Linked DNA regions of Coturnix japonica. The protein of the gene in region 2 binds, or shares a complex with, the protein of the main gene of each other region. Links are inferred from orthologs where the notes say so. Each region holds a gene or a part of one and is shown on either strand. Other genes may lie near its edges.

What was found.
Region 1: the proteins of NADPH--cytochrome P450 reductase (region 2) and HMOX1 are in contact, whole or in part, in a crystal structure (PDB 3WKT), measured with the Rattus norvegicus proteins. The link is inferred for Coturnix japonica from reciprocal best matches to the Homo sapiens genes POR and HMOX1. Residues at the interface, in NP_113764.1 of Rattus norvegicus: Thr88, Thr177, Asp208, Asp209, Arg313, Arg514, Lys515, Gln517, Arg519, Leu520, Phe522, Lys523, His626, Lys665, Met667, Thr668, Lys669, Gly670, Tyr672; in NP_036712.1 of Rattus norvegicus: Asp12, Ser14, Glu15, Gln38, Ala75, Pro76, Glu81, Lys149, Ile150, Lys153, Ser171, Asp173, Asn174, Thr176, Lys177, Phe178, Lys179, Gln180, Leu181, Arg183, Ala184, Arg185, Asn187, Thr188.

Annotation. Positions count from the first base shown.
Region 1 is NC_029516.1:47,610,690-47,615,259, forward strand, and holds the start of HMOX1 (heme oxygenase 1), read right to left. Parts: upstream 2,984-4,570; 5' UTR 2,875-2,983; coding exon 2,843-2,874; intron 2,584-2,842; coding exon 2,463-2,583; intron 440-2,462; coding exon 1-439.
Region 2 is NC_029534.1:3,220,444-3,224,250, forward strand, and holds part of NADPH--cytochrome P450 reductase, read right to left. Parts: intron 3,654-3,807; coding exon 3,504-3,653; intron 2,880-3,503; coding exon 2,755-2,879; intron 1,900-2,754; coding exon 1,810-1,899; intron 1,473-1,809; coding exon 1,374-1,472; intron 743-1,373; coding exon 626-742; intron 382-625; coding exon 263-381; intron 1-262. UniProt on the Homo sapiens protein: This enzyme is required for electron transfer from NADP to cytochrome P450 in microsomes. It can also provide electron transfer to heme oxygenase and cytochrome B5.

The DNA.
Region 1 (4,570 bases), on a different chromosome or scaffold from region 2:
TAGCATGATCCATCTCAAGGGCGTTCATGCGGGACCGATAGAGCTGCTTGAACTTGGTGGCGTTGGAGACTCCATCGAAGGTGAAGAAAGCCAACCCTTCTCCAGTGCTGGGCAGCTGAAGGGCTTTTTGGGCAATTTTCTTCAGCACCTGCCCCCCAGACAGGTCTCCCAAATAGCGAGTGTAGGCATGGGCCACCAGCAGCTCTGGATTCTTCTTGCCAACGTAGTGGAGCCTCTCAACGTATTTCTGAGTAGCCTCAGGACATGGGATCTCTGCCCTCCAGTTGCTGCCATAGAAGTACTCCAAGTCTTTCTCCAGGGCATCTTTCCGATGTAGCTCCGTCGGAAAATAAACAGGAGCGTAGACAGGGTTGTCCTTGTTACGTTCGATCTCTTCCTCCAGAGCAGAGTAGATGAAGTACAGGGATGCCGTGACCAGCTGAAACAGAAGAGGATGAGCTACATGTGAGTCTGTCTGCTTTTGGGACAAATCCCACTAACAAATAAGTTACTCATGCACACTCAGTATTACACTATGCGGTATATATGTTATGTTGCAGGTTTCCTGGACAGCAAATGGAGATGCAAGGGGCAGTGAGACACCATCTAGCCCATTTCAGCAGATGCTGGCCTTACCTGCCCTTAAAAGCTGCTGCCTTCACCTTCGAGTTAAAGTTCTCCCGGCTTGACATAACAGAAACTTAAGTCACTCCTCACCTGCTCTCTTCATCCCCCCAGCCAATATAGAGAGCATTCCCAAAGGCACATTTCGTAGTGTACTGCTCCAATCTGAATGCTTACAGGAATGGAGGCACCCCTTTGCCTCATTCAGCTTCATTGGGGAATGCCTCTTTGGTTGCCCCAGGGAGACAAGATATAAGGGACAGGAGGCCTCTGAAAGATGCCTTTGTGAAGGATCACTGTGCAGCTATGTGCTCATCCCTCTGTTTTGAAACCACTGTTATTGTTTTTCCCAGCTTACATGCTATTTTCGTCTATATCTGCCAGCTTTTCCACGTGGCATAAGACAATCTGGCTGTGTTCTTCCCTTCCATGGGCACCCTGTTTGTAGAGGCTGTGTACGTATCTATATCCCCACTTCTCACTTACACTGAAATCCCTTATCGGCAGCAAAGCGTAGAACATGGAGGTACAGAGTCAAAGTCAGATTGAGGGGAATTAGAGAGAAAGCAGTTTACCCTCCCAACAGAGGGATCAGTACTGCGGGAATGATTTCAGCTTTTCACCACTGCAAACAGGACTTTGATACACACACAGGCAGTGACTTTGTTGTGGAAACTGATCTTCAGATCCCAGGAGTCACATGTCAGGGCAGGTAAATGGGTTTGCCAAGAAGGTAAATAAGGGGGGAAAGAAAGATGTTTTTAAACAATAACTCATTATTGGATTGGAACCGAAACAAAAACGTTGCCCAACCAATGAGGAAAGATTAACTTGGCCGGTTGTTTTAAGTGGTTCAGTGGGGAAGGTGGCCTTTGGAAACTGCTATTGCTATTCAAAGCCCGGCGTCACGTCCCATTTCCCATCACTGGGTAAATATTTTCTGGGAAACCAAGCCGTGCTCCTGAATCTCAGAGGCCTTTCTTCATCACCGGCTTGTCTCAAAGTCCACTGCCCAACGAGTGCCCCATTCCTATCAGCGGGAAGTCAGCGCCTGCCATTGGATTCATGCTTGACTAAGTGCTGTGAATACAACCTGTCAGAAATAAATGGACTAATTTCTGTTCTCGTGCATTTATCTATTGAGGAGCTATTGGACAACAAAGCAATTAAACCACGGGCTGGATCGTTAGCTGTTATTTGCAAAGCCGTGCGTCAGGTCCTCCGGCCTCCTGGGAATTTCTCAGCCAGGTGTTTGCATTGTTTTTGCTCACGGCTTTGTTACGTGGCTCAGATCCATCCTGTTCCTAGCCAGGACGCAGACTAGTACCGGCACATAGCTCTTACACTTCAAGCAATGCAACAGGCTCCTACCTGCTGGCAGCAGGCACAGCTTGCTCCAACTCACTCTGCCTTTGAGCAATTGCTCCCGATCTCAGCTCTGCTATAACCCCAGTGACGGCTAAAACACTGTCAAGTGTGGTGCCAGAGATGATCTCACAGCCTCACTTCATTGCTATTCCATCGTTATTTCTAGCTGTAACCGCTTAGAGCACTCTAAATTCACGCTCCATTCATAGAATCACAGAATCATTAAGGTTGGAAAAGATCACTGAGGTCATTCAGTCCAACATCAGCCCACCCCCACCATGCCCACTGACCACGTCCCTCAGTGCCACATCCACACAGCTCTGAACACCTCCAGGGATGGTGACTGCACCACCTCCCTGTGCAGCCTGTGCCACTGCAGCCCCCATATCCAGTCTGACCCAATACCTGCCCACTCTTCTACCTCTTTTAACTACATGTGACAGTAGCTCTGCCGTGCTGTTACACCCTACCTTGAACTCGTGGAGGGACACCTGTCCCTTCTGGAAGTTCTTCATGAAGGGTGTGTTCTCTGCCTGCTCGTGCACCTCCTTGGTGGCTTCCTTCAGGAGCTCCGACAGGTCCTGGGACATGCTGGGTGAGGGAGAGAAGCAAAACAGATGTCAGTGTTGTTGCTCTGCTCCAGCCAAAGGGACCTTAGGAAAAGGGGGAGCCGGGGACAGCAGGAAAAGGAGCCGAGCCGGGGACAGCATTGCCAGCATTCCCCCTCCGTCCTGAGCGGGGAGCACGGCCAGAACGCATCCAGAGGTGAGAGGAGAAGCGCAACTGAAAGCAGGGCTGAATACAGCACTGCCGGCTGAGCGCTTCCGTCTCCTCCCCGTCCCGCTCTCACCTTTCAGCGCCGTGTGGCTGCGAAGTTTCCATCCTTCTCCGCCCGCTCTCGAGCCTCTGTTTCCCTCTGGTTTCCTTGTTCGAACCCGCTCCCGGGACGAGAAGCGCTGCGCTTTGTACCCGGCTCCTGCTCCCGGCTTTATACAGGCGAGCCACGTGAGCAGCACAGCCGCTGACCTCATGTGAGCGCGCTTCTTGCAACACGCTGCACTTCCCTTCCCACTGCTGGGCCCCCCCGCAGCCCCCAGGGACGGCTGGGAGGGCTGGAGGAATTCACCCCTGTAACAGCACCAAGGAGGGGATGCAGCTTCTGCAGCATCTGCCCTAGAAAGAGGCTGGTGTCAATGTTTTATCACCCACGGCTGTGAGCATCTTCAGAGCCTCTAAAGGCACAGGGAGCTTTGCATACTGAATTGGTGCGGCAGGTGGGCCCTGCAGTGAGCAGCACCATGTGTGAGGTGGTAGAGGAGGACAGCAGGCCATCCCCTCAATACCCTCAACACCCTCAGTACCCTCAATACCCTCAATACCCTCAATACCCTCAATACCCTCAATACCCTCAATACCCTCAATACCTTGGGGCTTGTCCCGTCTGCTGTGTGCAGATTACCAAGGTGTGATGCAGGGCTTCGGGGAGACTGAGGCAGGCTGCAGATATTTGCGAAAGCAAATAGGTTCTCTGATGTAGGACAGGAGAGTTGGACAAGGTGCTCCTGCTAGTTGCTGGCTGCTCTGCTGTTTTGTCTGCTGCGTCAGCCAAGGAGGCAGCCCGCAGATGTAGTGGGGCCCCTCTTCCATCTGGAGCTATGCTGGAAGCTCAGCTAACCAGGACGGGGAATGCATCATTCATCTGTGCTTTGGGAAAGCACACATTCTGCCTTGGAGCCAAAAGAGTGGGGCACTTAAAGCCATCATTACCCTGCTGCCATGGACTGGAAAGGGGGTCTTCTGTCTATCTGGCCACCTGGATTTGGGTGGGCATCATATGTCCTCTGCACAGCTGAGCTCGGTGCAGTGTTTTGGGGTGGCCTGGAGGGATTGTGCACGCACACAGCTCTGTGCTGGGCTGACATCTGGAGACTGTGCACACTCAGGAAGGATTACTCAGCGCCCCCAGCCTGACTCAGCCATGCTTTTCCTGTCTTGCTCTGCTCTTTAAAGCTACAGAGCGCTCTAGCAAAAGCTGGCTCTTACCCTTAGGCCACTTAATGCGTATTTTGCTATTGGATAAAATATATTTATTGGGATGTCCAATTCTTTGAAGCAAGCATGAAGAAACCTTTAACATCCCCTGGCTCCTAGACAGAGGCCAGACCTGCCTCAAGACATCAGTGCAATTTTTGCCACTGGACTGGCTTTGAAATGAGCATTTTCCACTGGCATCATGTGCTTACAGCACAGTTCTCACTTCTTTCAATGAGCCCTATTTGGACATGGGAAACTGGAACACACTGAGCCTATAATTCTGCTCAGGGGAACAAGGAAAGATATGAAACTGAATGATAGTATTCATTACATGAGTGTGTAATAATATGACAAGCTACCCTCCCTAAACCATATTCCTCCTTTCATCCATGCTCTAAGATCACCCGGTCCAACCATCAGCCCATCCCCACCATGTCCACTGACCACATCCCTCAGTGCCACATCCACACGGCTCTGGGACACCTCCAGGGATGATGACTCCATCCCTTCCATGGGCAGCCTGTGCCACTGCAGCACTGCTCTT
Region 2 (3,807 bases):
TGCTGCAGCAAAAGGATGCTCTGGTGGGCTGGTGCTCCGTAATTAGGAGCGTGTTGTTACATAATTTGTTGTTGAATGGGCACAGCAAACATGTCACAGCTGATCCACTTCAGCTGGCTTGCAGCAAACAGGCACTATGCCACTACTGCAAGATGCATTCAGAGTGGCCATGGGATGTCTCTGCCTGGAAGTGTCTTACAGGACCTGTGGGCGTGATGTAGTGGGAAGGACAGAGGCCTTGCATGAGTGGATCCATACTCACCATCCAAATTGTTTAGTGACATGATCGTATCCAGATCTGTGCCCAGAATCTCGCCAAACTGATTCACCAAAGATGCGTCATTGGCCGGATACACAGCCACGTGGTCCCCAGACTCATACCTGGTACAAGAACAGGAGGGGAAGAGATGAAATACAGGCACTACTTCTTGTCCATACCGAGCCTGAGATGCTCAGCTGGAGGACAGGCTGCTGGTTAGAAAGATAACACTGAAACTTGAGCTGCTGCACAGCACCTGCAGAACCAGGGACCCCAAAGAATCAGCAGTCATGGTAGTTGAGGAACCATCATTTTCTTTTCTACAGGGGAGCTCCAAAAATCACAGTAGTTTTTCCCAGAACCTACCTGATTTTGGAATTGGAGATATCCAGCTCCAGGTGCATCAGGTGTCGTTCCCCACCTTCGTTCAGCTTACGGTTCTCTGTAACCACAGCCAGGAAGGGATTCTTGGCATCAAACGGCCTGGGAGGAAAGACAAGGTCCCTCTGGGTTACTCTCCTGCAGGCTCACAGGACTGCTTTCATCTAGATATGTTCCTTCTGTCTCCAGAGCAGGGTCCCACCATTAGAGCACGGAGCCATCCTGGCTCGTGTTTCAAAGCACACCATAGCACAAAACTTATGCTGCTGCTACCCACAGTTGGCAGAGAAAACAATCATTTTCCTTCTAAGTACAGCCCGGCAACCAACAGCTCCTATCCCATTTAGAACAAGTGATGCAACAGCAGATTAGAGGGAGTGTCACCTCTCAAAATGGTATTTCAGGTTGTAATTCATTTACACAACCTCCCCACAACAATACTGCAAGCAACCATCACACAGTAACCACTCCAGGGGAGGAAAGGCTCTGACTGACCTCAGGACAAATGCTGCACACTTACCAGCCAAACAGCGTAGGAGAACACAGCCAAACTCTCAAACATGAATGACTCATTAACTGCGGAACCCTTGAGAGTCCCAGGGGACATCTGAACCCATTTCTCTTGGGCAGATGTCTGCCACGTGGCTGTGTTGCTAAGATGACACTGCCTGCATAGCTTGTGTAGTTAGAAACATCAAGAATGCCATTGGCAAAAGGCAAGTCTGGCACTTACGGCTTCTGGTTCTCGTAGCTCTTGAGACGGCCCATCTCTCCAGTGTACACCTTGTTCATGTTCACATCTGTGTGCACCACCAGCTCGTACTGGCGGATGCTGGAGGAGGAAAGGGGACAGAAGAGATAGGAAAAAATGTCAAATTGGTAATGACGAGACCCAATTGGAAACATCACCTGCTTTACTGGGTATGGTGCAGTTTAAACAAATGACACTTCCACCCTTCACCCATCTCAACACATCAGGAAGCAGGGTGGTAATGCTCAGTGCCCAAACCAAGGAGAACTGTCTGTTGGGAGCACTGCAAATCTGTGTGTGCCTCAAGCCTGGAAGAAGCAACAGCTTGCAGGAAAGGGGACAGCAGCTCAGGCCTGATGGCACAGCCATCACGTGGCCAATCTTTCTGGCACCCAGATGAAAATGCTCCCATACCCACCTGGATTCCTCTCCTGTAGCCTCCACCCCAAAGTGCTCACACACTGCTGGCCAGAACTGCTCTCTCCAGGTGATGAAATCTTCTTCCAGGCTGGATGAGGAGAAAGAGAGTTTTAACACTCCCGCTCAAGAGGAAGCAGAGGGATGTTCCCAGAAGAGCCAACTGAGATCCCTATGGAATTCCTCCTTCACCATAGAAAAAGGCATCTGCCTGTTCTCTCTACATGCTCACACATCACCAGAAGAGCATCTTCAGAGCACTGAGTATGAGGAAAGGAACTCCTGCTACACCTCCCTTCACAGCCACAGAAGGCTGGAACTCAGGCTCGGTGTCTTTGCCCATCTCAGCATCCCATTGCCCATTCCTGGCATGAGGTCACCTTCCAGATTCCAATTTTGAAAAGTCTATTTTCCTGAATTCAGAGCCTCCCACACAGGGCAGATCCCTCTAATCAGATCTTGCTGTCCTTGGAGGCAAAACTACAGGTTAATGTAATTCGTGACATTAAGCTTCTGCCAAGAGGTTGTTCAGGTAAATACAAACAATTTCTCTTGGACTCTGAGTTGGAAAACTGCTGCATTCAACCATAAAATAAACAGCTCACAAGGAGATGGAGCTTGTCTCATCTGCAGGGATGAGAGGGCTTCTCCATGCAGGCACAGATATCAGTGGAGCTGCAGAAGTGCGAAGGCAGAAGAAGCTGTGAAGCCTCATGAAATATACAGTTATGGTCATTTAAAGCTGATGCTGGATTTCAGCAAGGTATACAGGGTATACGTGACTGATTTATATGAGAGAGAACAGACACACTCAGGGACATGGCAACCACCATAACTAGCCCTAAGGAGTTTGCTTCTGTCTTAGCAGTAGAGCCAACACATTGCCAGGGACCCTTCTGTGATGCTACAGCCAGTTCAGAGCAACCCTTCAAGCTGAGCTACTCACTTGCCATCATCATCTCCCAGCCCAAGCTCAAAGATGCGCTGGGCTCCAAGCTCCTCCAGTCTCTTGTCCACATATTTCCCCATTGCATTGAAATGCTCATAAGTCTTGTTCCCCAGCCCAAAGACCTGAAAGAGAACACTGATAGTCAAGGAGAAGCAGGGACTGGATTTCCTCCATCAGACAGCACCCTCTGTCCTTCCCCTCCTACAAACCACCCAGCAAGTGCTTACAAACTGCTTCTTACAGAGCAGCTTAACATCTCCAGCAGTGCATTTTCCTTTCATTTGCAATTGTGATGCTGCCTAAGGAATTTGGCTGGCGTTCAGGTGAGGTGGCTGTATCTCAGCCAATTATTCAGCGGAGCACAGAAAAAGAGCCACACACTCCTCCAAGCAATTTAATTTGTGAGAGAAGATCTAGCCAAAGGCTGCTCAATTAGCTCCTGAACAACAGCAGCAGCCTGTAACTCATTTACAGACCGTATATTCAATGTCTGCTGGGCTGTTTGGGCAAACCCTCGTGATTCAGGGAGAGGAGAGAGCTCTCTGACAGCTACATTTAAAACACGTAGATATATGTTTGCAAACATCCGTGCAGCTTGGAGAGGAAGACAGTAAGGACAGCATCCAGAACAGGCGTGGAAGGCATAGACATCATGTTGTGTTTTTACCCAAGCCACGTGCAAGTGCAGTGAAAGGCTTTTGACTTTCCTGCCCAAATACAGCATAAACTGGAATTAAACCACTTACTGCAAAGCGGAGACCTGACAGGTCAGCATCAGCCTCCTGCAGCCAGTCGTAGAAGTCTTGGGCATTGTCTGTAGGATCACCCTCACCATACGTAGCCATACAGAACACAGCCAAGGACTTGTCAATCTCAGAGAGGCGACTCAGGTCCGACTACAACCAAAGCAAAGAATAAATCCTCAATGATCACACAATGTGATTATTGGGCAAGCCTACACCTACACTGCAGCTACACCCCTGGTGCGCAGAACAGCACTATGCCATGTCAAATAACTGCTTACAAAAGGGATTAGGAAAAGGCCAAACC